Drosophila melanogaster: one gene and its partners. The protein of the gene in region 3 purifies or fractionates together with the protein of the main gene of each other region. This does not show direct contact. Each region holds a gene or a part of one and is shown on either strand. Other genes may lie near its edges.

Region 1 (7,084 bases), on a different chromosome or scaffold from region 3:
TGGTGGAGATTTGGCAGCACCTGGGGCAAGTCAAAAGAAATCCCAGAACTCGAATGAAGCGGGAAGCTCATCTAGTGGCAATGCAGGCAATGCAAATGCTACCAGTACCGATGATGCAGCCTCCTCAACATCCACAAATGGCAATAGCAGCACTTCCAGCAGCGTAGAACAACCTACAAGCGGGCTGACGCCCGCTGGTGGAACTGTATCAACCTCCAATCCGGACGCAGCAGCATCGGGCGGAGCTTCGACTGCAACAGGATCAAAGGCGCCAAGTGGAGCGGTTACGATTCGCGTAGGAGCCCAAGGAAACAACGTGCAGTCTGGTTCGTCCAATGCTCAAAGCTCTGCTCCCAGTGGAACCATCTCCTCGTCTACCAGCGGAGGTGCTGGGACTCCCGCAGCTCTTGTTCCCATGGACATTGACGAGAACATCGAAATACCCGAATCCAAGGCTCGTGTATTACGCGGCCACGAAAGCGAGGTGTTTATCTGCGCATGGAATCCTAGCCGGGATTTACTGGCAAGCGGTTCGGGAGACAGCACTGCTAGGATATGGGACATGTCCGATGCAAACACTAACTCCAACCAGTTGGTGCTGCGCCACTGCATCCAGAAAGGCGGCGCTGAGGTGCCTAGCAACAAGGACGTCACCTCTCTGGACTGGAATGTAAGTCGAAGATCTTGGCACTTAAGCCTTGCAAAGTTTGATTTCTGATCCTTACTTAATCTATTCTCGTTTTTGCAGTGCGATGGTTCCTTGCTCGCCACCGGCAGCTACGATGGTTACGCCCGAATTTGGAAAACCGACGGTCGACTTGCTTCTACTTTGGGACAACACAAGGGTCCGATCTTTGCTCTGAAGTGGAACAAGTGCGGCAACTACATCCTCTCGGCTGGCGTGGACAAGACGACGATCATCTGGGACGCATCCACGGGCCAATGCACCCAGCAATTTGCCTTTCACAGTGCTCCAGCCTTGGATGTGGACTGGCAGACAAACCAGGCCTTTGCCTCTTGCAGTACGGATCAGCGGATACATGTGTGCCGGTTGGGTGTAAATGAACCCATCAAGACCTTTAAAGGACACACAAACGAGGTGAATGCAATCAAGTGGTGTCCGCAGGGCCAACTGCTGGCGTCCTGCTCTGATGACATGACCCTCAAGATCTGGAGCATGAACCGAGATCGTTGCTGCCACGATCTGCAGGCTCACTCAAAGGAGATCTATACGATAAAATGGTCGCCCACGGGGCCGGGAACCAATAATCCAAACACAAACCTGATCCTCGCATCCGCTTCGTTCGATTCCACGGTAAGACTGTGGGACGTGGAGAGGGGCAGCTGTATCCACACGCTCACCAAGCACACAGAGCCAGTCTATTCGGTGGCCTTCAGTCCGGATGGAAAGCATTTGGCCTCCGGCAGCTTCGACAAGTGCGTACACATTTGGAGCACGCAAACGGGACAGCTAGTGCACAGTTACAAGGGCACGGGCGGAATCTTTGAGGTGTGCTGGAACTCCAAGGGCACTAAGGTGGGTGCCAGTGCCTCCGACGGTAGCGTTTTCGTGTTGGACCTGCGAAAGTTCTGATTGCCGGAGCAGCCACAACTGGATTTCGTGTATTGAGCCAACGCTTAAAATAGTCAAGATTCCTTTTCCAGCTCATTATTTGGTAAAAATGAAATCGGTAGTTTTTCACTTTCTTACGGAACGAGAAGTTTTTACTTTTGATTCAAAAATTGCATTTAACTATATTTTTTAAAGAAGTGAAATATGATCAGTTACAATTCTACCAACATAAGTCGATTTGGATCTGGAGTCCGGACCTTAGGTAACTCCTTTCTTAGCTATCCCGCCCTGCAATCGTATTTGTAATTGCTTTAAATTCTAATTAGTTCTTTAAGGTATACCTCTTGAGATGAGATCCTCCCGCTTTTGTCCACGTCTATTTCGTACGCTTAGTTTCGAGTCACAAAATATCGATATGCACCTGGGATTTTTGGGGGCTTCAACATGGTTGTTGTTCTCTTCAGATCAGCGGGATGCGACTCGCCTCATTTTAATCTTAATCATAAGCTCCATGTTTCTAAGGTCGTCCCTTTTTATACGAAAATCGTTTAGTATAACTTTGCATTTTGTTATTGTATCGATCAAAGATGCCAGCCAACTCCCCGCCCTCCCCACCAAAAGTCCTTTACCCAATTCCACAGTTGTCCTCCAAAAAAGGGATGCCAAGAGATCAGATCAGACCGATTCACGCATACATTCAGAACAGTGTAACTGCAGTCCCACGTAGTCAGTAATCGAACGTAATTATTAAGAACACGAGATTGGCGGAAACACAAGAACATCAGCAAAAATACATTAAAGATAAAAATTAATCTGTTTTCGTTTTGGGCCTGGGTGTTTTTTGTATTTTAGCATTTTAAAATTTAATACTAAAGTACTTAAATTAAACTTTATTCTTTGTAAATATAGATACTCCTGAACTTAATTTTATTTTCATTTGTTGCTAAAACTCCATGACACTTTCCAGATGGCGTTGCTTAAAGAAGCGGCACTCCTCGCGAATTATTTCGCCGGATTTTGTTGTGCCCTTAAAGAACTTTGTGAGCTTGGTGCCGGCGTACTTGGGCTTCTCGGAATCCGGCTCGTCGAACTCCATGTCATAGGCCTTGTCCGCCAGTGCGTTTTCCGCGGTGGACCAACTGAAGCGCACAAGTCGTGGAAATCCAAACACTAGATCGATGTACTCGGTCAGAAATCTTCTTGTGACCGGATCTCCCGGATATCCACTGCCGAACTCGTTGTCCTTAATGACCAAGCCCTCGGGGAAGCTCCACACCTTGAGGGCATGATCACGGGTAACTTTGGCGCATATACTAGCAGCAGAGACTATTGGATAGGTGGAGTCAGCTTTTTTCGCCACGGTGATTTTAAAGCTGGGGAAACGTTTGAGCAACTTCTCCTGGTACTTCTCCGGCGGACCCACCGTATCCACATAAACCTCGGCTATATTGACGCCCGCATCGATCGCCTGTTGGATAAGGCCCATGGCCGAGTCCATGGAAACTTCGTTCAGGGAGCACTTCGACCGCCGGTACATGCTGGTGCTGATCGTGTTCGGCGATATGATCTCCACGGCCCAGCCAACGCAACTGGTCGCATATTCCTTGGTGTTGATATCGTTAAATATGATATCACGTTTCCCCTCGGTTAGTTGTTTGGAATCGGCGCATCCCAGGTCCTCTAAAGCCTTGTTACTTTCCAGTGGACAGTAGGAGATCCCATATACCATAGGTCCCAGGACGGGACCACGCCCTGCTTCGTCCACGCCCAGCATGCACGGCTTATCCTTGCAAATATCCGGAACATCGCTGAGGTAAACCGTGTTGCGGCTATTCTCCTTGCCGGCTATAAATGGACCCAGGGCCTTCAAGGAGCTTATTTTTCCGCTGTCCTTAAAATCTACATCATCGGGCTCTTCGTCGTTCTCATCAATATTTTCTATACATTTTTTTTCTTTTTTTACAACTACGTCTTCTTGGTCCGACATTTTCGCGCGCTTTTTTTTTGTTTACGTTTAAACGACGCTATGGGCACACTAATTGTATACATAAAGTTGCAGTGTGACTCATTCGTCATTATACCAAAATATCTTTTTTTTAATATTCTCAATAACCGTACGGAAAGGTCTTTTATTAAAATAGAGAGATAAACATATAACCAGAGAATTATGCTAAGGCTTCTGTCCAAGATGCTTAAAAATAAACTAGTTTAAATAAGAGATAATCTCGGCAGTTTGAACGAGTTTTCCTCTACCTAGTATTTCCTGACAATAATATGCAAATTTTCATAGACGGTTGGTATTTTTCTTCGTCATCGGCGCGGTCACACTGCATATCAACTGCTCTTTCCGGTTTAGGATTTTGACCAGCGTGCTTGTTCTCGTCCCGAGCTAAGGCCATTTGTTATAAACAATTAATTTTTGGCAACTTGCACAATCAGTGATTAGCCACAGCACTTCGACATGTCCACCAAAGCCGAGCTCGCCTGCGTCTACGCCTCCCTCATCCTCGTCGATGACGATGTCGCCGTCACCGTAAGTTTTTCGATATTGCAATCGGGGACGAAGCAAATCCTCCAAAGCCGCGGCCATCGGCCGGAAGTATTGGACAATTTGCGGGTCCTATGGTTTCTTTCGCACTGCTGCAACTTGTGCTGATCTTATTTTTTGGATTCACCAGGGTGAGAAGATCAACACCATCCTGAAGGCCGCCAACGTCGAGGTGGAGCCCTACTGGCCCGGTCTCTTCGCCAAGGCCCTGGAGGGCATCAACGTCAAGGACCTGATCACCAACATCGGATCCGGAGTTGGTGCCGCTCCCGCCGGTGGTGCTGCCCCTGCTGCCGCCGCCGCTGCTCCAGCCGCCGAGTCCAAGAAGGAGGAGAAGAAGAAGGAGGAGGAGTCCGACCAGTCTGACGACGACATGGGCTTCGGTCTGTTCGACTAAATCCTCTAGAGAACTTCTCGACAACCGGACATCCGTTGTGTTTGTGCTGTAATCCTCGAGAGGTGGACGTGTACCCGTTTCCCGACCTGCGTACACGTTTTTAATGTACAAATGTGAGGAAATATAGAAGACGTTTGCTAAAAAATTATCGAGACTCATTCCTTTCACAACGGTGCAGAATTATTATGGTTTACTATGTTATTGGTCATTCCACTGCCTTTTTGTGAGTAGATTCTATTTTGGGTTTTTAAGCACATGAAAGAGGTTGCAGTAGAATGGCCAATAATTTGGTCAGCCGGGTTGAAGGCTACGATTAAAATGTTCAAGGTTTTTTTTACAAAAACTGTCACAGCTAATATTTATTGGATATAACGAACGCAGACTAGAATAACGTCTCCTCGAGGACCTTAGCTAGGGCACGAAGATTGGGTCCGTCGATTTTCTTGAGACCCAAGCCCACCACGAACTCCGTCGGGCACTTGTGGAGTCCGGTTCTGTTGACCAGAAACTGTATGGCGCTGCGAGTCTCGTCGGTGTCCAAGCCCAAGCAGCAGTTCATCGTGATTGGCACCGATACGTGGAACTCCGGATTGTCCACGGGTCCGTGCAAATAGGGAACCACTCTTTCGTCCTTTTTGACATCGAAGTGCACGTTGTAGATGCCGGGAATCTTGCCGAGCTGCGTTATGACTAAGAACCACTTCTTGGCAAAGCAGTGGAACACTATCTCCGTGGGAACGCCGTTCACGTCCGCTGAGAACTGCCTGTCGAATCCGATTTGTCGAGGTTTGTTTGCTGTGTGGTTCATTTTTTGAGAGAATTTAAAAGCGTTTAACAATGTTGATATTGTTTACGATGAGACAGCATGAAAAAACGATGAAAAATACATCGATGTTTTATCGATAGTCATTATGCATTGATGTGCTAATATGAAGTGTGGCCGAATGGTTCCGAGTTTCGTGACTCCCGAAGCACGCAGTTCAAACGTTTGCACTGATTTCCTGAGAGCGCCATCATGCAGAAAATAATTGAACTACTGACACAAGATTTCGATTACGCGATTGATATTAAATGTTCAACCATTTGTAAATATTTTATATATAAAATAAGCCAGAAATAACAACATGTACGTGCTTACTGAACTAACTTTTACAATTTTAATTTAATTAATTAATTAATAAACTTTGGTAACCAAGGCTACCTTTGTTAGATCCATAAATAAAATCCAAGTAAAAGCAAAAATGTCCACCTGCATTTGCTTGGGCCCCAAAAGAGCGGGCAAAACGCACCTTTTGAAAGCTTTACAGGATCCGGAATCCATCGATGAGACCACGTTTTCCATGCCCACCATTGGCACTGGGATTTACCGAATCCATTTCCCAACAAAATCGCCAAATGGGGATAAAAATAAGCCTCCTCCCTCAGAAGCTCCAGCTAACATTCCTCATGGCGGTAAAAATCTGCCCAAGTCCATACAGATCCTGGAAATTGGAGGGAGTATGGCCCCCTTGTGGAGGCAGTATTTCGAGGATGTCAAGAAGCTGATCTACGTCGTGGACACCTCTAATCTCTGTCAGATTTCAGCCGCCGGCGTTCTTTTCTATTCAATCCTCACCGAGCCGCGTCTGCAGTAAGTAAGGTGGAAATGAACTGAAAGCTCATGCACTAGTTAAATTCGTCGCAGGCATAATACTAAGATCCTGTTGGTACTGGCCAAAATGGATTACTCCTACCGCCAGATGCGAAACGAGGCTCTGCTCATGCTGCAGATGCAGAAGTTGCAAAAACAGATCCGCCAGCAGGTGACCATCGTGGAGGCCAGCGCCGTCACCAAAGTGGGCTTAGACCCCATCTACGATTGGCTGCAGAGACCCTAAATAATAAAATATCATAGAAATTAGTGTGTCACTCACATTAATGATACACCAGTGAAAATATTAAACTCTATTCCGATGCATTTTTATGTGGCTTTAGTTAATAAAATTAAACGTGAACACTGCCTAATCTATCAGATAGAAGTTAATATCTAGATTAAGACCTAAACTTCCCAAAAAGCAGAAAGCAGAGGAGATGCAGATGCATCCCGGAAGACAAACCAAGAAACAAGTTGGTTATATTAAGCTCAAATTAACATTAAAAATTTAGGTAGATTTACAGAGAGGTATAGTCAGGGTGTCCCAACAGGGTGACTCCCCAGGGACCGGAACAGGCGCACTGCAAAGTAATTAATGTTTTGGCCGACCAGGTATCCATGGTAATCGCCTCGTACCCCGAACCTAACCAATTCAAACTATACCGGAAGACCCTTTCCATATGGCGAGTATACACCTATACCTGCTAGAGGCCAGTCAGTCGATACCAGCAACCGCAGCAGCGGAGGAATCTACAAATTAGGTCCCGTGCAAAAGAGGTAGGCGGGAAGTACAAATTATGGGCATAGAAAAATTAGATGGCATGGAGACGAGCCAAGAACTAAGACCAGATTCGAACCCAGAGGAGTCCAGAGGAGCGGAGGAGGGAGATGAACCGCAGGAAGCAGCAGCCGCATTCCTGATGCCCCTGGATT
Region 2 (8,157 bases), on a different chromosome or scaffold from region 3:
AATGTAATTAAATCATAATATAAAACAAGACCTTCATTTAGGTGAGTTCGATTGGGAATTACACGTGCAACTATGCATAAAAACGAATGGATAATCTTAAATCATTGAAAAATGAAATAAATTCGAAAACAATGACATAAACTAATATCGAATGACAGTAAAATTGATAGATGTTTTAATTAATTAAGACCCAAAAGGGACATCAGTCTTGTCTTAAAGAGCTTCAAGTAAACAAAATCCACAACAATTCAATTAATCTTTTTATTATGATCTAAAACATTTTCCCAGATATCTTCACAAGAATCAATAACAGTTTGCGGCGAGGACAGTTTGTGCTTCATGAAAAAGCCTTGAATTTGCGCCGGACTAGCGGAGCGTCCAAAGGAATTCACTCGTTTTCCGAACTCCTCGGCTTTTGTGGTGTCACTGCTGGCGAAGAAGTTCTTGAACATCTCCTCCAACTGATATTGCGTACAATAGCCAATGTATTCCTTTAAATCGATTCTACCAGGACGAACTAAGGCGGGATCGAGGCGGTCAATGTAGTTTGTTGTCATGAAGACAATTCTGGCCTCCGTGGAGCCCACACCGTCCAAGCAATTTAGGAGTCCACTGAACGTTATCCTGTTGAGACCGTCAAAGGCGGATTTCTGCTGCGGAGTAGCTTCGCGCGAGACGAATGCTGCGTCGATGTCCTCCAGCAGAATGATACTCTGCTCTGGCGCAACATTCAGGAGATGATTGAGTCGATCATCGGTGAGGCCTCTTTCGGATAGGTTTAGCAGGCAGACACTGTACTCCAGTTCGCCCGCCAGGGCGGTTATAAAGCTAGACTTGCCACAACCAGGTGGCCCGTACAGAAGGTAGCCTCTTCGGTAGGGGATTCCACGTTGCGTATACCACAGAGAGCTCTTAATGAAGTCCTGGCAGTCGGCAATGATTCGCTGCGAAGTTCCGCGATCCAGCACCACCGATCCAGTGGGACGCCTTCTGCGCGGATGTCCGAAGGGTCTCCATTCCGCACCCATCGCTGTGTACAGCACGGTTTTGCCCTCTGTGGCCTCCAGAGCCAGCTGCCTAGCCTCTTCGAGGATATCGAAATATATACCTTTATTGTTACCAAACGCTGTAAGCGTCACTGTCTCCCAAGGAACACCCATGTGAAGGTCCAATGTCTGTTGTTCCCTGGTCCGCTCCACCTGAATCCAATTGCCCTTGTACTGGAACAGATGCTTGCCTATGCTGGGTATGAAGTCATAGCTGGTTTTGATTGTGCCATTGTCGTTCTGCACAAAGTTTGTCTCCACGCTCAAGTGTTGCGTTTTTCGCGCTCCTCTGATCGTAATCCATTTTAACAGCCACTGATAGGATTTGTCCCGACACGGCACCTCCAGGGTAATCATGCAGTGCCGCCGGAACAGTATCACTCCGCCCTGGAGGCCCTTGCGCAATATGGCAGCAGCGGCGCCCACACCAAATAGTCCAAAACCGGCACCAAAGTAGGGATTTGACGAAAGTCCAGCTACAAGATCGGGCAAAGTCATCTTGTCTGCAAAAACCGAGAACAAGGATCAACGTTTAATTAAAGTGTTTTACTCTTTTTCGGCAATAAAACCCTATAAAACAACACCTGTTGCTTAATCTATCATCCAAAACATGGGTTCCTCCTGTAAACAATGGTACATCTTTTCGAAGCAACTTTTTAAACAAATAAAACTGAAGTCTAACATATACTGTTTACGTGCGCTTCAGCAAAGGCACCAACAATTTTATTTTCTCATGAGAAAACCATGTAATTTTATTATTTAAATCAACCATTTGCCATCACTCTCGTTATGTAATTAATTGTAATTTAGGTGTGAGCAAATAAATATACAAGTTGCCGCTGAAGTGGCACATTTTATTTGGCATAAAAACCATCTTAGAGGATAACTTGTCATTCACTAAAAGCAATCAACATTTTTTTATAGTAGAAATGTTTCAATACCGGCATTGATAAATATTTTTAATCCAACAGTGTGACCGAACTGTGAAATCGGAAAAATGCAAATAAGTTGGGAAAACTTATATCGAAAAACCAATATTTAATAAATACTATAAATAAATAATAAATGAAGGTTTAAAATTAAAATCAAAAAATTTTACCCATAACATTGATTTTTTGTATTCATTTATTCAGTTTGTTCCGTTTTAGGATCTATGCAAATGCATGAACAATTTTATTGTATCCTTGAATCTTACATTTTTAATGGTTAAGATGCTTTCATAGCCCTATAAATGCCTATGGACGCTGCTCGGTTGCAACCAGGACTTCTGGGTCGCGTGGTCCGGCTGCTGGTTCCTCTGGGGGGGATGGGCGATCATCGTCATCGTCGTTCCTGGGCGTATCATTGTCATTCTCTTTGGCAATCGCCACATGCTTGGCGCTGTCTTTATTAGAGAGAATTGTGAATGGCTGGTCTTTGCCGACGATGGCCACAGTGATGTCCTGCAAGAAAAACACAATTTACTAACTATTCGCGACGGGAAATGTGCAATGAACTTACATACTGACCGGCATCTTTGCCTTGCTCATCCGTAGGCAGGGTACCGAGTATAGCGCGAATTCCGTGACGGATGATTTCATCTTTGGAACTGTCCAAGAACTTGTTCAAATTCTTCTCCAGATAGGTGCGTGCACTCTGTGAACGCGATCCGATCGAATTGGCCTTGCAATTGAAAAAGGTCGCCGATGGCGTGACCTGATAGATGTGCGGACCCCTCTCATCGTAGCCGGCGACCAAAAGGCCCACTCCATACGGACGGCGATCGTAGCGCTGAGTGGTCGTCTGCATCTTGTTGCCCAGGTTAGTGATCAGACGCGAGACTGGATAGGTTGTATCGTACGAGTGCTTGTAGTTCAGGCACTCGGAGCGCAAGTACCGGCTAAGGACGCGGGCATCAGCCGTGAGGCCAGCAATGGAAATGCCCAGGTGATCGTCGATTGGGATGATCTTGCGCTGGGTATCCGATAGCTCCGATGTCGGCTTACACAGGGCGACAAGTACAGCGTAATCTTTATTTTTCAGGCCCACGGTTGCGGTGCCAAGTTTCACGGCCTCCATTGCGTACTCCACCTGGTGGAGACGTCCCTGCGGACTCCACACAGTAACATCGCTATCGTACTGGTTGCGAAACTGAAAGCAAAGATGTGAGTTTGTAACAAATGCAGTTAGCACACCATTATTCGCAATAAACACTTTACCATGACTTTTGAAATGCAAGCCGCTGAGCTCAATGATGACAAGTAGAAATGCCCGATAGTTAGTTATGGCACGCCGGGAGACACAAACAAACTGTGTATCGGGTATCGATAAGGGATTCGGGCATGCTATCATTTTTGGAACGATGCAATAGAACATTGTAGGATATGCATACAAATTTAAGGGGATAATGATATTAATTATAATCAGTAAACTTGTATGAGCACCTTGTTAATCGTAGTTAAATTAATTCCAGCACCACATTATACCTGACTACACACGTTTAATTGACCAACAATTACAGCATACCATGTGAGTAATACAATTTTAAACTATAACGGCTTATCGGGACTTAACTAACAATTAAGTTATATTTAGTTTAATTTATTAACTGCATACTTAAAAAATTAAATGAATTTCTTGTTCCATTCGCTTGTTCCCAACTTGCATTCGGAATCACTGCATATCGACTACAATCGATTGTTTTGCCATTAAGTCTGATAAGCTGTCAGTGGGAGTGTTTACGTTTTAATTGTATATTTCAGTTAGTTTTCACTCTCTCCTGTTTTGGGACCGAGGGTTTGTAGCTCCGTAATCGGATTGTTTGTCGAGGGTATATGCTCGCCTATATATATACCTCCACTCGAAAGTGTTAGCATCAAAATTGCATTGTTAAGATTAGTAGAAAGAAAGATTTTCGTGCGCACCTTAATCATAAAGCCGTGTAATTTAATTAACTGAAGGAATTAACTAAGGTGACTTCATTGCACACACACATACACACAAACCGCTACATACATATGTACACCTCATAATATCCCTATATACGTATGTGCACGAACAAAGAAAACATTTTTATTGGTTCGGCGCATTACTAATGTTTACAATTAACGATTTCTGTGAAAGTGATAGTATACTTATATTGCGTGCCCTTCAATGCGGCTACTGTTCGCTGTCCGTATTCCCATATCTTCGCTACAAGATTGCTTTATTCCGTGACATCCGCTTAGCTACATATCCAAATAGCGCAAAATAAATATATAAATAAAACATCGTGAATGGACCAGCACAGAATATTTCAATCCGCTGATCATATCCCATTCCCGATGCCATTTACCAAATGCGACTGACCACCAGCCAAATTTGCATGTGGCGAAGGGAAAAAAGGCAATCGAAGCGGTTGTGTCGATTTCCCAAGAAGTTGTACATAGTACGTAGCGAGCGAGCATAATGGAATTTCCCCCTCCATAAAATCAGACAACTAGTTGCATCATCACTTTCTCAGTAGTCGTTTAGTATTGTAGATACATATAACGAAAGCCAGTTAACGACAATGCGTTTTAGCGCGAAATTTAACGTATCAATGTCAAAGACCAAACCCGACTTATGTATGTAGCTCCATGCCCAGCTACCTTGTTAACCTAGCTAGTCGGTATCAAATGGTCTCAGTGTTCGTGGATTCACTCTATATTGACCATTGGGTCACAATTCTTGAACTGCTCTTAATGGATCACGAGTTTTTTGGATATTAAAACGCATTTTGTGTCAATTAGCACACAAATCATAGGTGTACGATTTCGAAAACTATTTCAATTCTTTTTGTCATGCATTTTTTATAGAATATTTTCAGTATACAAGATAGTAAAATCATTCATCTTTTTTTTTAAATACGAATGCAATTGTTTAGATTTATCTTAAATTTATTTTAATACATATTCTAGTTTGATTTTTATGACACAAAGTCATAAAGATTTATAAATATTAATTTATTAAAAGTTTAACCATCGTTTTGTCAAAATTCCGCTATTAATTTTAGCATTCTTAGAAATTTTGAATAATATTTTATTAATTCATATTCATGCCTAACAAAACATGTGGTATTTTTGAAAATTTTACTAACATTTTTCTTTGTAAATACAAAACATTTTGGCAAATAAAAGTTAAACAAATTCGAAACAAACGCAATCTTTTATTTTGGTATATTTGGTTTTCATATCGGTATATATTATTTTAATGAGTGGAGGGATTATCCGAAATTCTAAACCACCCAACCATATAATGTGCACTGTTTTGATTACATTATAATTTCGAGTATTTGATTACACCATTCAGCAATATATATTGACTGAAACTGAATGGATATTGAAGCGTGGCAATGAATCAGTTTTATTGTTATTCTTTCCTTAGGAGGCAGTTCTATTATTAGGAATACTGCTTATCGAATTGCAGCGCATCTGCAGAGTCTAAACAACAATTTAATCGCCAGATATCGCAATTGCGAGTTGCAAGTGTTCCAAAACTCACTTCGTTGTATATTTTGTATATATATATTTGGTTTGCTGGAATAAATGTTTATTTAATTCGTTGGAAAACGGTTTCATCTGGCTAAACGCAAATTTGCATGAAGTGTACTTTATTTGTGTAAGCGAAAACGTTGAATTTGCCAGGCTCGGATTACATTTGATTCAGTTCTTAGTCGAAAACCGAGACTCTTACTTCGAATATCATACATAATAGTAAGCCCAGGTGCATACTTTAACCAAAAACGTTCTTTACAGATATGCGATTGTGATAGAATGAGTCCAAGATCCCCGCTCAGGATATCTCCATTTGGAGTACACATCCTCATCGCTGCTGTGCTCTTTACGCTAATTCAATCATCGAAACAGGTAAACTAACATTTGGTTTTTATCATTAAATTTCAATATTTTATCAATATTAAGCATACTGGGTTTTTAATCGCGCAGATTAGTCGTCGTAAAATCATTTCTGAAAATGGACTGGTAAATTGTATTGGAAAAGCTGTTGTTTCACCTCAACAATGAATGAGCTAAAACAGATGCAAGGCAATTAGAAAAAATATATATTTTTATAGCTCTGGGTGGCGGTGAGATGACGTACTTAGTTTTGGAAGTAATATTTAAATTTGAAAAAGGTATTTGGGGTCAGCAAAAAGATAGCTAAAAACCAGACTTCAACTTAGCTTAGCTCACTCTACATATCTCTGCTCTATAATGTTATTAACTTATTTTGCAACTTTTTAAGGACTGCGTTTGGTATGGCGTGTGCAACACCAATGACTTTTCGCACAGCCAAAACTGTCCGTACAATGGAACAGCGAAGGAAATGGCAACTGACGGTCTGGAGCTGCTGAAGAAACGCTGTGGATTTCTGCTGGAGAATAGCGAAAACAAATTTTGCTGCGATAAGAATCAGGTTATGAGTAGCATTAGCTTTGCCCAGGCGTCATAATTATCAAACAAATGCCTTTGCAGGTGGAGCTCCTTAATAAGAATGTGGAGCTGGCCGGAAATATCTTGGATCGATGTCCATCCTGCATGGAGAACTTGGTGCGGCACATCTGCCAATTCACCTGTTCACCAAAGCAGGCTGAGTTCATGCATGTGGTGGCCACGCAGAAAAATAAGAAAGGTAATCATTATTAATAGCTTATTAATTATTGAATAATTATATATTCCGAATTTCAGGTGATGAGTACATAAGTTCTGTTGACTTGCATATATCAACGGAATACATCAACAAGACTTATAAATCGTGCTCTCAGGTACTTCTGGATTCCATATACATTATTCATTGATCGAAAATAATTATTGTTTGTGTTCAAATAGGTTTCTGTACCGCAAACGGGTCAATTAGCTTTTGATTTAATGTGCGGCGCTTACTCAGCATCTCGCTGCAATCCTACAAAATGGTTCAACTTTATGGGCGATGCCACCAATCCATATGTTCCTTTTCAAATTACCTATATTCAACATGAGCCCAAATCAAATAGCAATAACTTTACGCCCCTCAATGTAACGACCGTTCCTTGCAACCAAGCAGTTAGCGTATGTACCTACTATCCTTATTGGAAATTCATTTCATTTTGTGCTAAATATATAAATTGCTTGTAGAGCAAACTACCTGCGTGCTCCTGCTCGGACTGCGACCTATCCTGTCCCCAGGGACCGCCGGAACCGCCCCGTCCAGAGCCCTTCAAAATTGTTGGACTCGACGCCTATTTCGTCATCATGGCAGCTGTCTTCTTGGTGGGAGTCTTAGTATTCTTAATGGGCTCGTTTCTGTTTACACAAGGTTCGTCCATGGGTGAGTTTTACGCAGTTAAATTATTCGTCACTAGTTTCATATCTGAATGTTAAGTGTACTTCAAATTACACTTTCTGTGTGAATAATTTGCAAAACTCATGAATGAATGAATGAATGACCATTTTAGTAGCTTGAAATATAATGAATTTCCCTATTTCAGATGACAACTTTCAAGTGGATGGCAATGATGTTTCCGATGAAATGCCCTACAGCGAGAATGATTCATACTTTGAAAAACTTGGCGCCCACACAGAAACTTTCCTGGAAACATTCTTCACCAAATGGGGAACGTACTTTGCTAGCAATCCTGGCTTGACTTTAATTGCCGGAGCATCCCTGGTTGTTATACTGGGGTATGGCATCAACTTTATAGAAATCACAACGGATCCGGTTAAACTTTGGGCTTCGCCGAACTCAAAATCCAGACTGGAGAGAGAGTTTTTCGATACGAAGTTTTCGCCATTCTATAGGCTGGAACAGGTAAGCTTTTGAGATATAATGGTTTTTTTTGCATAATCGTAATCTTTATCTATCTTGTAGATAATCATCAAAGCTGTGAACTTGCCACAGATTGTGCACAACACCTCGAACGGCCCATACACCTTCGGTCCCGTCTTCGACAGAGAATTTCTAACAAAAGTGTTGGATCTGCAGGAGGGCATCAAGGAAATTAACGCAAATGGCACACAGCTGAAGGATATATGCTACGCGCCTTTGTCGGATGATGGCAGTGAAATCGATGTGTCCCAGTGCGTTGTCCAATCGATTTGGGGATACTTTGGCGATGATCGAGAAAGATTGGATGACC
Region 3 (8,531 bases):
GTGGTGCTGTGGCACTCGAACGCGTCCGGTAACAGTTTCGCCTCCTGCATCAACAGCCTGATACGTGGCGTCATTCTGGAGGTAAGTGCATGCACGGATTTGGTTGTGAATGCACCAATGGACACTAATGTGCTTTTGTGCGGCTGCAGGAGCGCAACACAGAGGCCAAGTACTACGAGGAGGACCACCTGGCCGTGCAGTTTAAGCTGGACAACGAACTGGACCTGGTCTATGCGGCCATTTTCCAGAAGGTGATCAAACTGAACTACCTAGATGGATTCCTGGCCGACATGCAGGCGGCCTTCAAGGAAAAGTACGGCGACATACGTCTGGGCGATGACTACGACTTCGATCGCGAATATCGACGCGTGCTCAGCGCCGCGGAGGAGGCGTCCGCCAAGCAAGTGAAAGCACCTAAAACCATGCGCTCCTACAACGAGTCACAGAAATCGAAAAAGACCGTCGCCTCGATGATACAGGACGACAAGAAGCCGGTGGAGAAGCGGGTGAACATCCAGGAGGCCCCGCCACCATCCAAATCACAGCCGTCGTCGCCACCGACGGGCTCCCCAATGGACAAGATCATCATGGAGAAACGGCGCAAGCTGCGCGAAAAGCTCACGCCCACCAAGAAGACCTCGCCCAGTGATTCCAAGTCCAGCAAGCCCGAGAAGGCCGGCAAGAAGCCACGCGTCTGGGATCTGGGCGGTAATTCCAAGGATGCCGCTCTGCTCGATCGCTCCAGGGATTCGCCCGATGATGTGCAGTACCAGAACATCAACAGCGAGGTGAGTACTAACTTTCACTTTCCCCGAACGCGACTCGCATTCAAAGTGAAATCACGAACTCATTATTATCATTTTTCATACTCGCAGCTGGTGGGCACAATGCAGGGCGTCATCCGCGACTTGGATGTGGAGAGCGAGGACGAGGCTGACAACGAGGATGCATCCTCTGAGGGGGAGGCCGAGGAGCAGGTGCAGTCAAAGAAGGGCAAGCGCGGTGGCCTGCTATCCTACTTCAAGGGCATTGTAGGCGCCAAGACCATGTCGCTGGCAGATTTGCAGCCGGCGCTGGAGAAGATGCGCGACCATCTGATATCGAAGAACGTGGCCTCTGAGATAGCAGCTAAGCTGTGCGACTCGGTGGCCGCCAGTTTGGATGGCAAGCAAATGGGCACATTCGACAGCATCGCCAGCCAGGTGAAGGAGGCGCTCACGGAATCGCTGGTGAGGATACTATCGCCCAAACGGCGCATCGACATCATACGCGATGCCCTCGAATCGAAGCGCAACGGCCGCCCGTACACGATAATCTTCTGCGGTGTCAATGGTGTCGGCAAGTCCACCAATTTGGCCAAGATCTGCTTTTGGCTGATCGAGAACGATTTCAACGTTCTGATCGCCGCCTGCGATACGTTCCGAGCCGGTGCCGTCGAGCAGTTGCGCACACACACACGCCATCTGAACGCACTGCATCCGGCGGCCAAGCACGATGGACGCAACATGGTGCAGTTGTACGAGAAGGGTTACGGCAAGGATGCCGCCGGCATTGCCATGGAGGCCATCAAGTTTGCCCACGATACGCGAGTGGATGTGGTGCTTGTGGACACCGCCGGACGCATGCAGGATAACGAGCCGCTGATGCGTTCCCTGTCCAAGCTAATCAAAGTGAACAATCCGGATCTGGTGCTATTCGTGGGCGAGGCACTGGTGGGCAACGAAGCCGTCGACCAGCTGGTCAAGTTCAATCAGTCGCTGGCCGACTACTCATCCAACGAGAACCCGCACATCATCGACGGCATAGTGTTGACCAAGTTCGATACCATCGATGACAAGGTGGGCGCCGCCATCTCCATGACCTACATAACCGGCCAGCCAATTGTGTTCGTGGGCACGGGTCAGACGTATGCCGACCTAAAGGCCATCAATGTGAACGCCGTGGTCAATTCCCTGATGAAGTAAGCCAGCCGTCGATCCGGCTATCCTTCCAATGCTCCTTGTTTGCATCCACTCTTTTCACCGAATCAAATATATGGCTTTTGTCTAGTTTGTTGTTGCGTAAATGGAATGCTTTGCCCACTGTTGGCTGTTGGTTCGTTTAGGATTAAGGATCGCTTGGCACTTCGATTACAAGTTGTTTTGTTTTTTTTTATTTTTTTATTAATGTTTATAACTTTATGCGTACAAAGAAGAGTTTAGTGTGTTGGGGGAAAAAATGGGGCGGGAGTAGTGTGTATGAATTAATATAATCTATTTGTAGAACTCGTGCTCCTGCTCGTCCTTCTTGATATTGTTCTTGTAGCCCTTCTCGAAGTCCTTGGCCAAAACGATGTAGCGATTCTCACGCACCGCGTGCATGCCCGCCTCTTGGCAAATGGCGTTGATATCGGCACCGGAGATCTTGTCCGGCCGCGCCACAAACTCCTCCAAATCGACATCCTCGCTTAGGTTCATCTTCGAGGTGATGGTGGAGAAGACGAGTCGCTTCTGCCGGCGATCGGGCAGCGGGAACTCAATCTTACGATCCAATCGACCAGGTCGCAGCAATGCCGGATCGAGTGTGTCCGCCCTGTTGGTAGCCATGATCACCTTAACGTTCGTGGTCTGATCGAACCCGTCCATCTGGTTGAGCAGCTCGAGCAGAATGCGCTGCACCTCGCGATCGGCGCCAGTCTGCGCATCGAAACGCTTCGTGGCAATCGCATCGATCTCGTCAATGAAGATGATGGCCGGCGCGTTCTCCTTGGCCAGCCTGAAAACGTCGCGCACCATGCGCGGTCCCTCGCCGAGGTACTTCTGCACGAACTCCGAGCCGACGACGCGTATGAACGACGCCGTCGTATGATGGGCCACCGCCTTGGCCAACATGGTCTTGCCGCAACCGGGCGGACCGTACATAAGCACGCCGCGCGGCGGATCGATGCCAATCTGCTTGTACAGCTCGAAGTGGGTCAGCGGCAGTTCGACTGCCTCGCGGATCTCCTGCTTCTGCATGTCCATGCCACCAATGTCCGCATAGCTAACGTCGGGCTTCTCATCCGGCTGCAGCATCGAAATGGAGCTATCCGCCTCTGGTGGCAGCACGTCCACCAGCGCGTTGCTGTGCTTGTGCAGGGCCACCGAGGCGGAGGGCTTCAGCAGCTCGCGATCGATGGTGGACAGGATGCGCACATAGTAATTGGAGCCGGTGGTGGAGCCCACAATGCCCGTGTTCTGATCGACGGCCTCCAGGAACTGGCCAATCACCAGCGGCACCGACTGGATGCGCTTCACCTCCTCCTGGGCGTGCAGATACTCCTTTTTCAGGTTTCGCTGCTCGTCCTTGATGTACTCCTCCTGCACTTCAATGAACTCCAGTGTCTTTTGCAGTTTCTACAACACAATGGCCGCTTAGATGGGTGATCAAATGGAAGACCAGTGGACGACTCACCTTGTAACGCACGTAGAGATCCTCCATGTCCAGTTCGTCCAGGGAACTGTGCGCATCTTTTAGCTTCAAGTCGGAGAGCTCGTCCTGGTGGAAAAAGTGGAATTGGGAAAGAGGTAATTAGTACGCATGCCAGGCGGCGCAGAGAGGCAACTACGCACCTTTTCCGGTATCAGTACGTCCATGTTGTACGGCATTCTTTTCGTTCAGCAATGAGTCTCGTTTTATTAGTTTGCGTTTTCTGCGAGGCGACCAAAATGACTCGTCAAAAACAAGCCAGCAGTGCGTTGTGGTGGCAACCCTGTCCGCAATCGATTGTGATCTATCGATGGGGCCATTTATCTATCAAATTGTGCTGCTCTTTCAATCGGTTTTTTTTTTCGATATATACTCTTTCTGATAAGAAAGCAACTCCTCTTTATTGGACAATATCCTATACCAGTTAGTCTGTAAAGCTAAAATGTTGTATACAAATAAATCTAATATCACATGTCATGTTTCTCACTTAATATCCGGAAAGTATTTTTTAATACGTTTCAAAGCATCTGGTGATGGGAAAAAATCAGCTGTCTGATAATTGCCCGATATATACCAGCTCTGATTGGAACAAAAGCTGATAACAGATTTATTACTAACAAAAACTATTTCGAATGCAGATCGCTTATAAGTAATTGATAAAATCGCAAGTTATTCTAAGCAATTCACGTAGAACCATGCCAAAGTATCGCTGCTCGAGACGCAACTATCGATAGTTCGAGTACCTTTCTCGCCAGCGGGTACAAGTGTGTACACACTGGCAAAACCCGACCATTTTGACGCGATTTCGATTTCCCATAAGAAAAAAAAAGAGTAGAAAAACACACACATTTAACATTTCGGTCGCTCCTGCTGCTTCTGTGTGTGCTATGTGTGCGTGTGCGAACGAACCAAATATATACACACACGAGCGCTGGTAGGACAGTGAAATCGAATTTGCTGTTTATATAGCACAATTCGATGGCTGATAATGCCGCCGCCGTCGCCGAAAAATCGTTTCCCCAATATCGCTAGCATCAGAACGGGAAAGAGAACGGGTACGAGTACGATTCCGATTCCGATTCCGAGTACGTTTCCCACAAAGTATCGTTGTCGTTGTCGTCGTTGTCCTGCTGCCGTGCCCCGCCCCCTCTGGCCGCGCCGCCGCCCCCTCTGCGCCGTACGCACGCATCGATTTGGGCTAAACGTTAGATACCTCCTAACGCAGTTGTTAGGGTGGAAAGAACGGCCAGGGAAAATTGAATGCGCTACACTGGTGGTCGAGCTGCTGCAATGCCGTGCTTAAATTTAAGTGCAAGGCACTGATACGGATCCGTTGGCGCTCCTGGTCTGGTCCGTATCCAAGCGAAAAGAACAAAATATACAAGAAAAAAACAAGAAACAAAACAACAAAACGGAAAGCAATCCCGTGAAATCCCGGAATACAGTGCAATACAACGAACCGAAACACAGAACAAAACGAATAGAACGAAACAAAACGAAACGTATTTAGATACGCAGGAGAGACCAAGTCGGGATATCCAAGTGGACAGTGTGGTCTTGTGCAGTGGAGTGGTAGTTATGCTATATATAGCTGTTGGCCAAAACAATAGTGTCCGATAACAGAGCGAGATCAATTCGAGGAGTTGAAAATGTTTATTGTATAATTTCCAATTGAGCAGGTGTGCGTGCGAGTGTGTGTGCGTACGTGTGTGTGAGTAGTTTTTGTTTTTCGCTGCTTCTTCTTGCGGTTTATTTGTCAACAAAAAGAAGAAGGAAGAACGAAGCAGTGTGCGTGCAGCAGTAAATTGTTGTCCGCACACCCCGCACTGCTTGCAGGAGTGGCGAAGCAGTTAACTTGTGCAACGCAACCACGGACGACCCAGTGGCCTCCACATGAAGACCATGTCGCGCTTCGGCCTGCGCCGTGGCTTCAAGTTCTCGGAGGAGCAGGTCAACGGCAAGAATCCAATTGGACCGGCAACGGCACCAGCCACGGCCGCTGCCTCATCTAATCCGCGCAAAAAACGACAGACCCGGCAGGAGGAGGATGTGGACGCGGAACAGGAAGAGGTGGAACCGCACGAGGATCAGCTGGAAGCGGAACAAGAGCCGCTCTCGCTGATCTGCAGCCTGCCGCTGGAGCGGCTGCCCCGTTTGGTGGAGAAGCTGCATCAGATGACGGAGGAACGGGAACGAGAACGGGAGAGGGAGCGCGAGCGCGAGCGGGAAGAGGCCGCCGGCCTGGGTGGAGCCGCGCACTCGAAGGTCCTGTGTCTGTACTGTGATAGGAAGTTCGCCTCCGGCAAGCTGCAGGCCAAGCATGTGGACAAGTTTCACACCGAGCGGCAGGAACGACGCTGCAGCGGTCGTTCCACCAGCTCCAATTCTCATCCCGCCGGCGGCTTCCCCGGCTGCCAGTGGTGTGGCCAGCAAGGCAATCGCCGCCAGGCCACGCCCCCGCAGATCTGCCTGCCGGCCAAGCATTTGGAGCAGCTATTCCAGCACCTCAGCGAGCAGCATGCAGATAAGTATTTCGCCTGCCAGCCGTGTCGCCTGCGGTTCCAGGACGCAGATCACCTGTTGGGACACCAGCGCCAGCAGCATTCGCTTCATCATCCGGAGGATGGCCATGCCACCAAACCGGGTCTGATGGGCGCCGACGAGCCGGTGCTCTTTCGCCTCGGCCTTACCCAGAACCGTCTGCCCAGCCATCGGAATCGAAACCAGCGCAAGGAGGAGGAGCCGCCGCCCCTGGCCACGCCCAGCAGCAAATCCCGGAGCAGCAGTCGGGCGGCGACGCAGCGACAGCAACAGAATCAGCATCAGCATCAACAGTCGCAGTCGCATCAGCAGACTGCTGCAGCGGGTAACATGGCTCTGCAGGAGTCTGTCAATCCGGATGCAGTCTTCCGGCTGCCAGCCAGCATGGCCTGCGTCTCATCATCCGCCTCCGTCGCCAACTCAGTGTTCGATGACAAGTTCTACAAGGATGTGATCTCTAATGTACGGCACAACCTCCAGAATCACCTCGACGGACGGCTGTTCACCTCGTCTTCGACGTCCACAACGTCAGCCACATCGTCGTCCGCATCCCATAAGTCAGACCTCATTATGCTGCACGGACCCAGTCAGCTGGGGCCTGGCGGCGCCTCCTATCCCACTCTACTGACCGCGGATCAATTTGGCGGCACGGGGGAACTGCTACCGCTGGCCAAATTCCGCCGGAGACCGCACACGAAGCACAGTTGGAAGTGGAAGTGGGACTACGTGAAGAAGTTCACGCTGATCAACGAGGGCGGACGGCTGGTCAAGAAGCTGAAGCAGCCAAACTACCTGGGACTGCGCGATCTCTCCAAGTTGGACATGTGGACGCAGCTGACGATGCGGCAAAAGCACGATCTCTCGCTCTCATTGACGGAGGAGCAGAACCAGGAGCAGCGCCGCCTGCTGGAGCAGCTAAATCTCATCCTGGACCACCGCCTGCTGCCGCACATCATTCTCGAGCAGAACGAACAGGCGGTCATCAAGTGCGAAAACGAGGAGGAGGACGAGGGCCTGGACTCGCATCCCGGTGACGATCTGCTGCCGCAAACGTTCGCCGACGAGAGTTTTCTCTCCCTGCTGCAGCTCCAACCAAGAGGCGGGAGCAGCGAACAGGAACGACAGCGGGAGCGGGACCAGCGAGAGCGTAGCAGGAACCAAAAGGCCGTCGTGCTCAGCGGCGAGTGGGCACGGCCGCGTCTCTATTTGTGCATCTGTTGCGGCGCCAAGTTCGACCAGCGCAAGTCGCTGGAGGAGCACAAGACCTTCCGCCACTCGCACATCTACGCCACGCACTACGAGGTCGTGGGACGCGAGCTGCTGGCCGGCAATCTGTTGCGCCACCTCTTCATCCCGAAACGGGCGCTGGGTCGCTTTGCCGCCGCGAGCAACTGCATCCGATGGCCGCAGATTGCGCCGGCAGCCACAGTGCAGCAGCCCAAGCAGGAGCAGGTGCAACCGGAGGAGGAGACCAGGTCGTCGGCCTCGTCACGCTCATCATACGAGGTGTCCACACCCACTCCGCTATCGGCACTGGAGCAGCAACAACCATCACCTGCTTCGGGATCGGGCAATGCGTCTTCATCGTCGTCCTGTTCGCCCAGCTCATCATCCGCCTCCACGCTGCTGTCCACCGCCACCCGCACCTCGATGTCCAACTCCACCTGCACCTCCTCCGCTGCCACCACGACGGTGTCGTCCACCTCGTCCGCTCCTTCCAGCTGCACCAAGTGCGGTCGCAAGTGCAGCGGCCTCATGGATCTCTATCGCCACATGCTGGACTGCTCCGGCGACTATGTGTGGTCGCTGGCCAAGAAGCGCAAGTATCGCTACTACTGCGGCACCAAGAAGCGACGAGCCTTCTCCAAGAAGCTCAAGCAGCTCTCCGCCCGCAAGAAGGAAAAGCTGGAGGTGGAAGTGGAGGAGGGAACGGGCGATGGCGATGGCGATGCCGAGGTAGATGGCGATGGCGAGGCGGAGGCGGAGGGCGAGGAAAGCGTGTCCAGTTCATCCAAGTTGAAGAACTCGCCACGCCAAAGGCCCAGCGATGGTGAGTATGCTGTGAGTTTCCAAGTTCCCTTGCACACATTTAAATATTACCCAATTTGTAGCTGAATCCATTCGGAAAATGCTGGAGAATCTGCCCGCCAAGCGCATCTGCAAGAAGATATTTCCCGTGGACAATAAGGCCAAGCGCAAGGCCAAGAACAAGGCGAAGGCCAAGTCTATGGCCAAGTCGCTGGTCAAGTCGAAATCCAAATCCAAGCAGCAGCGCAGCAGCACCAAGAGAATCTACAATCAGCACCTGCTGCGCACCACCAGATCCCGTTCACGTTCATCTGTGGTGGCCACCGGCTCCTCGGCCGCTGCTGTCGCCGCACAGCAGCAGCGCAGTCGCCGCAAACAGAAGCAGCAACAACAAAAGCAGCAACAACAAAAGCAGCAGCAGAAAAAGCAGGAACAGAAGGCCAAGCTGGAGAAAGTAAAATCCCCGCCAGAACCGCCGGCAGCAGTCGAATCGGATCAAATGCCAGCCAAGACGG
Region 4 (8,856 bases), on a different chromosome or scaffold from region 3:
GACTTTATTTAATTGTTGCATTATTTATGGACGTGTTTGGCCAGCAAGTCACCTTTACCTTAATACAAGGCCCCAAGATTTAGCCATAATTCTCGGTTGATAGTGAAACTAGACTGAACAAAAAAGAGAGTGAGAGCGTTGCGGCGAGAGGCGATTTAAATACTTGTTCGCCACATTCAAACCTATAGATAAGTCTTGCGACTCGTCAGACAGAGCGTCATAAATATTTATTTTACATTTTTATTTTTTTCATTTATTTTTTTTTTTTTTTTCTTATTTGCCGCCTCTCTGTGTCGGTCTTCCTCTTCGCGAACGGCGACGCGTTGGAAATGTTTTCGATTTTCGCGCTGGGCGGTTTAGTTCCCGTTCGCTGGCGGAACTATTTGGTCGTATACGGCGCAAGAGCACTAACCAGCCCAGCTAAAATAAGTATAGATCAACCGGGAATACAGAAAATATAGAAAATTTGCAAACACCACAACACAACACTAGGCATTTGTACAAAACCACCTACAAGTAAGCCGGGGTTCAAATTTCAGCTTAAGCTAAAAATTATTCCTTGGGTTTCACACCCACAAGTCGTAGATAGTTAAGCAAAATTTCGAGTTTTATGTAACATCACTCTGCCCTGTCCATCCACAGAATCTCAATTGCACTTGGAGCCAACGGTCGGCGAGCAATGTTAGGCTAGGAGCCGGAGACCACAGCCACCAGAATGTCCAGCTAGCAGAACCAGGATCCCCGTCTTGATCTCAGCCAGGTGCCGCAGTCAGAACACAACGCCCAGAAAAGTGAAGAACTCGTATTCGGAGCACAATTCTGGTTACCATAGATGGCTCACTTCAGTGGTCATCGCCAGCCGGCGACGGTGCCGTCCCATTTCAAGGATCTCTTCACCAATGGCCAGTTGGGTGCGGCGGAGGAGAGCAACAATAATGACCAGAACGAGCAGGAGAATCGTCCCAGTAACAATAACAATGCTGGACCTTCGGATCCCGCCTGCTGGGTCTTCGGTTACGGATCCTTGTGCTGGCATCCTGGCTTTAATTACACCAAGTGCATTACGGGATATATTCGAGGATATGTTCGCCGCTTCTGGCAGGGCAACGTCACACATCGCGGCTGTGAAGAGAAGGTAGGTGGGATAAACCAAATCGTGGATTTAGAAACGTCTGGTCCGCGTCTGTTGACGTTTTGCTCGTGTGTTTACCCAACAACTAGCGGTGGTGATCTGGTAATTATTTTATTACCTCCGCTGTTTGTTTTGAACAGTTGCCAGTTTTCAGTGATCAGGAGGCACGCGTTATCTATTCGTCGCGCGTTATCAGTTGTGTTTGGCTAATGGTGAACAACAAGTGAAATTAGCATTTACCAGCGTCTAGAGCGACTGCCAATTAAGATACAGATTGTTGCTAATCGAGGCAGGACAAGCCCCTTTCGAATAGATATCAATTCGTTTCGGAGAACCAGTTTGGGATCCAAATTGGAATATTTTTGTATTCTTTAAGGGGGGTGGGGTGCTAATACTATAATTTTTGGTGCTCAATTGAGGTCATGCTATTTTTGCAAGCTTGTAATCTAAGCATTTCCAAGTAAAAACGAAAAACGAAGGCAAAATGTAATATAAAAATAAATAGTAATAAAGGAATTGAAATCCCTTATTCGGCTATTTTCCCTGCGATCGCGACAAATGTCAACAATTTCGAAATAAGTCAAGGTCCATAATATGTATGTATAACCCCAGTTATATACATGTGCAATGTCGTAAATAATGCACATATACAGAAGGTAAACAAAAAGCGCGCTAGCTAGCCCCCAAGTCTTTGTGCAGGCGATGAATACACAATCTCCACAAACGAAAGTGTATAAAATACAGCCCAGTGCTAATGTGTACTTTTATTCTTTGTTACAGCCTGGACGTGTTGCAACGCTCGTTGAGGACAAAGAGGTGAGTAAAGTATAAAGATCATGATTCCAAGGGGGGTGGGGGTTATATATATATATGTTATGATATCGTTGTATAAAAAAGGGAGTGCGCCGTCCGAGTTTCCCAATGTAAGCCCCATTCTGTGTAGGCGGTTTCTCAGACGAGAAAGTGTGTGAACACCACCCGCCGAGTCCTACCAACTCGTCCATATCTAAGATTACTCTGGCAGATTTCCGCAGACAACCTGGCGCGTAAGGATTCGGATAAAATCCTCTTCATCCATACGCCAGGCGAAATTCCGCAGAATATAGGCGAATGCACCACCCACCACAGGGGTGGTGGGTGTTTTGTGCACACTTTTTACACCTTGATACTTTCTATCCTAGGCCCGGGGACTTTCGCCCAGGGCATTATCAGTTGAGTTACCAGGAACTCGTTTTGTGGCCCCGAGAGACAAGCATGGAAGACTCAAACCGGCATCACATTTGCTGCTATCAGCGCTATTTATACGCGCCATCAGCGGAAAAACGAGTTGGGAATCATAACCAGCCGAACGCGATATGAATAGCACACCCCAATCCGAAAGATACGGGTTCAAAACCCGCGCGGGGCGAACTCATTAAATATTTTTAGATCTATGTGAACCACATGTTTTTGTGTATTTTATTAAATATACATTTCCCATTTTTGATTGCAGGGAATCACTTGGGGCTGCGCCTACAGAATAACAGGCAGCACGGCACTGGATTATCTCAAGCAGCGGGAGTGCACACTGGGTAAGTAAATCGAATTGAAGAGAAGTGGGGACCATCATTTGAGCTAACCCACGATGACTCCAACAGGTGGCTATGCAACAATCGATACCAAGTTCTTCCCGCGCGTCGCCTCGCAGGACACGCCCTTCAGCGGCGAGGCGGTCGAGGTACTGGTCTATGTGGCGACGCCAGAGAATATCTATTGGTTGGGCGATGACCCGGTCGAGGAGATTGCCCAGCAGATCGTATCCTGCCGCGGTCCCAGCGGACACAATGCCGAGTACCTGTTGCGCCTGGCCCTGTTCATGCACGAGGAGATTCCCGGCGTGAGGGACGATCATCTGTTCGAGCTGGAGCAATTGGTTTTAGAGGAACTGTACCGCCGCCAAATACCTCTGTCATCTGTGATGGGCCGCAATCCAGATAGGATACGCCGCGACTCGCACGAGGACATCCGCCGCCCGCCATCCTTCGAGTTCACCTCCCGTGTGCCCGACACCAAGCTGCGTTGCCTGAACATTTGATTTCTGGTGTGCTGGCGGCCAAGTGCTATGCAGGTCGCGTTTTTTGCTACAGCAAATTCCAAATTATTGATCGACATTTTAGCTTGTTAGGTAACCAGAGTCTATTGCCAAATTTGACGTATTTCTTTAAATTGTAAATAATCCTAGGCCTAATCATAAGCAGCAACTCCTCCATAAGTGATCTGATTTAGCCAATAAGCTAGGATTAAGCACAAAAAAACTTTTTACACGCAACTGTCAGGGAGTTAAATTACATATGAAAAGAAATGAATACAGTATTTGGGTTTTTAATTAAATACAAAAGCATTCGCGCAAAATGTGAATATGTGGGATCGTCTAGATCAGGCGAAACTAAAACTAATTGGTGAGGATTTCGGCGGCACGATTCTCCATCAGTTTCTCCATGTTCGTGATGGCGCCCATCCATGTGTCCAGAGTGCTGGCCATGCCGACAATCTGGCTGCGGTTGAGGACGCGTGGTTGCACCCACGACATGTTAACCACTCCAGCCACTTGGTCAATCTCGCCGCGGACGAGATCCAAAGCCAGAGCCTTCATGATAAGCAGTTCCACTTCCTTGGCGGGCAGTTTGGTCTCTTGCGCGATGTCGGTAAAGGAGATGGCTCGCTCGATGGCTGAGCGCTTGAAGGTCATCTCCATGAGGCAAAGGAGGGAGATCTTCTGGCGCAACTTGACCTCCTGGGCAGCCAAATCGGGAATCTTGGACCAGATTTTCTTCATGTCATTAAACCTGCAAAGGAATAATAGAAAGTGTTAGTTACTGCAGATATTAAATTGCTATTACTACACACTTGTTAATATCGCCCGTGTTGAAGGCTTTAAGAAGTTCCATGAGCCACTCATTTTCCGTGCCCTTAAGCGACTCAAGAATGGGATGAGCCAGCAATTCGCCTATGTTGTAGACACCATCGCCCAAGAGAGCAGCCAGACCCAAGAAGAATGCCTGCTGGGCCCATTGATCACGGGGGTACTCATCCATGGAGCAGCCCAGAAACTGTAGGCCACATCGGTAGTAATCGCTGTGCTTGCCCACTCGCCGATAATACTGGGATGCCAGCATGTAGTATTTGCCGTGAACGGGCGTCACATTACCCGCTTCCTCTAGGACATCACGCAGTTCCTCGATGATCTTCTTGGTGGCATTCAGATCGTTCAGGTTGCTGAGGTACAGATTACCCTGCATCACCTGCAGATACCAAACGGCCTCGTCGCAGATCTTCACCTTGTCCTTCATCTTCTCCAAGAACTCGATGGCCTCCTTCTTGTCACCGATGTTGTCAACCACCACCTCGAGAATCTGGATGAGGCCATAGGGGTTTATTCTGCAAATACAATACATTAGATTCTGCCGAGTCATTTGCAGAAGCCGACTCACTTGGTCTCGAAGGTGGACAGGAAATTCTGGTAGAGCTGCAGCAGCGCAGTTTCGTCCTGCAAGGATTCGTGGCGCACAAAGGTCACCAGTTTGATGGTCAGCTCATTCCAGAGTCTGTAAAATAATTGTATTACAAGAGGAAAATTGAAATTTAAAGCCCAGATCTAACTTTTCATTGTAGAGCTCCTCGATGAGCGTCCATTCGGCGGCGAGTTCTTTGTTGGTGGTCTTCTTCTGGGTCGCCAGATAGGCGGTGACATTAGGCTGAGGATTGGACATCGCAACTGCGCTTTGTGTTGAATTAATTTCAAATGTAATGTTTAATGTATTCCCAAACTACAAAAATTGCAAATCACAATCGCCGACGCAGCTGTCACATTGACAGATCGCTTGTGTGGCCGTTTGTTTTTTTTTAGCTTATTTTGGTATTTTGTATTTTTGGGCGAATTTTTATGTAAAATTTATTTATGAACTAAAAAAGGCTTACATAATAACAAATGGCTGTATTTTTTATTTTTATATCACATGGAAAGCATTATTTATGATATTATTTCAGTGCCTAGAAACTACTCGATGACTCATTCGATAACAACAGCTGCGGGGCTTGGGCTTACGTTGTACTCACCGTCTGGTCACACTAACCGAACAGCTGTTTCTGCGTGAAGTTGTGTACGCGGAAGAAACAACGTTTCAATTCGTTTTGGAGCTCGCAGCGAAACAGTTTATATTTCCGCACTCCAGGATTCCACTTGGCAGAGAGTCGCCGCGCAGCCAATTAGCCAGTTAGCCCGATCCGCGAGAATATCGATATTTAACCGGGCCACAGCAGCACTGCCAACAAAACCAAATACAACAACTCGAGTGTGCGCCCTGAACTAACTAAAAAAAAGTAAAGCTGTCGTGTGTTTTGCACATTTAACTATTTGTTAGCCAAATAAAGTAGCAATCGAATTTCGCGAACGAAAGTGCCGCAATTAGTGGTTATATAAATGTAAGCCAAACAACGCGTCGTGCAAGAAACTATGTGGATTTGTTCGCAGAAAGTTGACAAACTGAGAAGAACTAGTTAGCGACCACAACGACCGCTCCAACTGGAAACCGCACTCCGCCAAAAGAGATCCTCATTAGCATTTCTTTTGTGGATTAAGGCGCGTGTCAACTATTTGTCACCGATCTCCAAGCAAACGATCGATTCCTCGTCGAAAAGCAAGGTTAGTTCTGGGTTCTATTTTCGACTTTTTGGGGGTCACTACTCTGCCCGACGAGGTTCCCCCTTTTGGCTTCGAAATTCCAAGCAGCATGGCCCTACTGATTGGGCCAGCGGTTCCCATTGGATACGATCGCGTTCCATTGAGAACTGCATAATTGGTTGTACATTGTATCCCACTATTTGGTTAGTAGACAGTTATGCAATTGGGGCTCCCCAATCTTATCACTCAGTGGGCACCACGTCGCCGCCGTCTATTAAAAGTTCTTGGCTTGCAATGGGTGTTGGACAACTTTCTCTTTGAAAAGCAAAAGCCACTTGAGCACAGGAGCGTTGGGTAAAGAAACGATAATTAAATTACTTTCGAGCTGATAGAGAATTTGGAACTCAAAAAGCTATTGAATTGGAAGATTCAACATTTGTATGGATTTGTACATAAACGAAATATATCAACCGAATTGTACTGCATTTTACAGTATGTAAATGCCTTCTTTTTGAGTAATATTGCACAGATGTCGCCTATTTTGTGCGTCCTTCGCAGTAAAAAAAACACTTGAACCAAATCGGCCAGAGTTTACTGTAACATCCTGCTGCGCTGTCAACATTTCTTTTCATTTCCTGACGCCACTGTGCGTTTTTGGTAGAAAGAAAGTACTACTACTTTCTCGATGTAGCAGTTGATTTCCTTGGCCTGTTCCCCACTTTACCAATTTACCAAAATCGAAATGGGCGACATCTGGCAGCGACAGAAACGATGCACAACTATAATATATATATATATGGATATGTATGGTATATATGAAAACCGGCTGAAGGCGTATTACGGTTATGTGAAGAGCGGCAATTTCAAAAATCCAAAACAAATTCCGAAAAAAAAAACGCCGTCGGATGACGACTTCATCTTCATCTCCGTCCCAGACGACAGACAGCAACAGCATCTGGCTATTAAAAGCAAAAGTGAAAAATGCCACACAGTCGCCGCCGATGCAGTGGCCACAAAAACCAAACAAAAGCAAAAGAAAAAGATGTAGAAAAAACATAAACCATAAAACTGCTGCAACAAGTGAAGCAGCTTTGTCAAGTGCATTGCCGCTTCCTTGTTTTTTTTTTTTTTTTTTGTATTTTGTTGCTCACTTTTTGTTGCTGCTGCAGCCAAGTAGTAATATTATTCAATTACAGGCCAATCCAGTTGCCCCGAGTTGCGAAAGAGTTGGGTTCGGCTTGGTTTCTCGCATGTTCATATTCGATTTTTGTGCCAAGCTCTTGGGCAGGCAGCCGCGATCGAAATTATAGCAACTGCAGTCTTCTCGTCAATGTCAATAGTTAAATAGATAGATCACCCTGCAAGGCAGCTCATTCATGCGTCATTCAAGAGGTGCACAAATAAGATCCATTTAATGACTTAATACAATCTTTTATGTTTTTAGTAGCTAATTCTATGATGGATTAAATATGATGAAGTATCTATATTTCCACAATTTCGGAAAAGAATCTAGCCTTTAGTTATTTTTTTTTATACTATTAAAGCAAATATTGCTCATATTTTCTTGACCCACACTGTGAATTCATTGATACCAATTCAACTTGGGATTCCATTGGCGGCGATTTCATAACTCTTGCTCTCACCGCCGTGCGACTTTGGCTTTGCCCAACTTTGATTTGGTTTTTTAAACAAATTTATTTTCATTTAACGCTGGCCGCGCTTCTTTTTTGGCTTAATGGACTGGCATTTTACTCTCTCGTTTCTTTTCTTTACTTTTTTTTTTTAACCAGAAGTATGTGTATATATTATATGTATATATATGTAAACCGATGTAGTTTGGGCAGCCGCAGCAACAATAGTCAGGCAGCGACGGACCGAAAAAAAAAGTGGTTTCAGTGCTGGTAACTTTCTCCGCCACCTGCAAAAGCGCGCGACTTGCACGCGTTTTAAACCGCACGCATGCGCAGTTCGCTCGGCGCGCCTGTATGTGCGGCATCTCTTTTACGCCGCCTGTATTGGCCTATCTGCACCTCCTGCTCTTCGTGTTGGCAACAGAAATTGGTCATGTGCCGCCGCCACCTGCGTACGTGAGTCTGTCCGCCCGTCCAAAGATTGCGCGATTAGCTAAACGCGCGCCAAGTCGCATGCAAAACGCGTGCGCGATTTTCAGCCTGCAATTTCATCATCATCGTCATCATGGCAAGCATAATTGTTGTTATTTGTGGCAAATTGCGATTGTAAATCGCCGAGCGATGAGTAAACCCGCACAAACGGTTTTCTAAAGCTTTTACTCAGAAAAAAATCCAAATAATATTAGGGTTTTAAGCCAAGAAATATAAGAAAAAAAGTAAAAATCAAAAAAAAAAAAAAGAACATGGAATATATTTATATATACTTTTATATATCTAAAAGATACTTTATTTTTGCCGAGTGTAGTCTGCGTATATTTGAGGTATTTCATATCTCTGCACCCCCATTGATTTCTAGTATTGAGAGCATGACTTTGGAAATCGTCGTTGCCTCTTTTCCGATCACCTTCAAGCGGTATTGCAAAGCCAAGCCATCGCCATCCACACATTGCATTGATGGCTATACATTTCCGCTGCTTTAGGCCAACTTCCATCGAAGGCCAGATGCGAACCCTTTGTTGCGGATGGTCGTAACGAAAAAATGGGGCTATAAAATCGATGTTCAATCGGCTCGAATTAGTCTGTACCCCAATTTGGCCCCCCAAATCACCCAGTCTCGTCTGTGGACTCACTTTGAAATGCAAATATCTCCGGCTCAAGCACAAAACGCAAATGCAAACAAAAGCCAACCGACCGCATGCAAATACAAACAAACCAGCATCTCACGAAACCAGCACGCACTTCTGGCATAAACATATCAAAGTTTATGTTTATTAGGCCCGCATTAGAGCCCGAAAAAGATGCAAACAAGGCAAAGATGTTGCAGCAACCGAAGCTAAAGAAAACTGAGGCACACCAGCATGCGTTTGGGCCGACTAGCCAATTAAGTTTTTGGCAAAAGTTTGGCAAAAAAAAAAAAAAACGACTTCTTAACC

The links.
Region 1: the proteins of Rpt3 (region 3) and CG11885 purify together in Drosophila melanogaster (affinity purification with mass spectrometry, with the first as the bait; one large-scale study listed by BioGRID). This does not show direct contact.
Region 2: the proteins of Rpt3 (region 3) and Prosalpha6 purify together in Drosophila melanogaster (affinity purification with mass spectrometry, with the first as the bait; one large-scale study listed by BioGRID). This does not show direct contact.
Region 4: the proteins of Rpt3 (region 3) and Rpn9 purify together in Drosophila melanogaster (affinity purification with mass spectrometry, with the first as the bait; one large-scale study listed by BioGRID). This does not show direct contact.

What each region holds. Positions count from the first base shown.
Region 1 is NT_033779.5:416,041-423,124, forward strand, and holds CG11885 (uncharacterized protein), read right to left. Parts: upstream 5,411-7,084; 5' UTR 5,327-5,410; coding exon 4,901-5,326; 3' UTR 4,855-4,900; downstream 1-4,854. Other genes in the region: ebi, read left to right, coding at 1-670, 749-1,594; CG13690 (uncharacterized protein), read right to left, coding at 2,517-3,560; RpLP1 (ribosomal protein LP1), read left to right, coding at 4,035-4,106, 4,252-4,518; CG13692 (uncharacterized protein), read left to right, coding at 5,760-6,148, 6,203-6,395.
Region 2 is NT_033779.5:10,216,533-10,224,689, reverse strand, and holds Prosalpha6 (proteasome alpha6 subunit), read right to left. Parts: upstream 3,340-8,157; 5' UTR 3,248-3,339; coding exon 3,245-3,247; intron 3,177-3,244; coding exon 2,547-3,176; intron 2,489-2,546; coding exon 2,282-2,488; 3' UTR 2,144-2,281; downstream 1-2,143. Other genes in the region: Bcs1 chaperone, read right to left, coding at 249-1,544; Npc1a (Niemann-Pick type C-1a), read left to right, coding at 5,819-5,911, 6,288-6,458, 6,518-6,674, 6,731-6,807, 6,872-7,090, 7,157-7,349, 7,510-7,829, 7,890-8,157. UniProt on the Drosophila melanogaster protein: The proteasome is a multicatalytic proteinase complex which is characterized by its ability to cleave peptides with Arg, Phe, Tyr, Leu, and Glu adjacent to the leaving group at neutral or slightly basic pH.
Region 3 is NC_004354.4:11,120,408-11,128,938, reverse strand, and holds Rpt3 (regulatory particle triple-A ATPase 3), read right to left. Parts: upstream 3,839-8,531; 5' UTR 3,627-3,838; coding exon 3,591-3,626; intron 3,517-3,590; coding exon 3,433-3,516; intron 3,375-3,432; coding exon 2,253-3,374; 3' UTR 2,154-2,252; downstream 1-2,153. Other genes in the region: SrpRalpha (signal recognition particle receptor alpha), read left to right, coding at 1-81, 150-788, 876-1,964; CG11122 (uncharacterized protein), read left to right, coding at 5,341-8,038, 8,100-8,531.
Region 4 is NT_033777.3:23,728,025-23,736,880, forward strand, and holds Rpn9 (regulatory particle non-ATPase 9), read right to left. Parts: upstream 5,439-8,856; 5' UTR 5,228-5,438; intron 4,988-5,227; exon of another isoform or gene 4,887-4,987; 5' UTR 4,882-4,886; coding exon 4,772-4,881; intron 4,717-4,771; coding exon 4,603-4,716; intron 4,550-4,602; coding exon 4,019-4,549; intron 3,958-4,018; coding exon 3,564-3,957; 3' UTR 3,351-3,563; downstream 1-3,350. Other genes in the region: CG10365 (uncharacterized protein), read left to right, coding at 833-1,135, 1,913-1,948, 2,625-2,703, 2,770-3,206.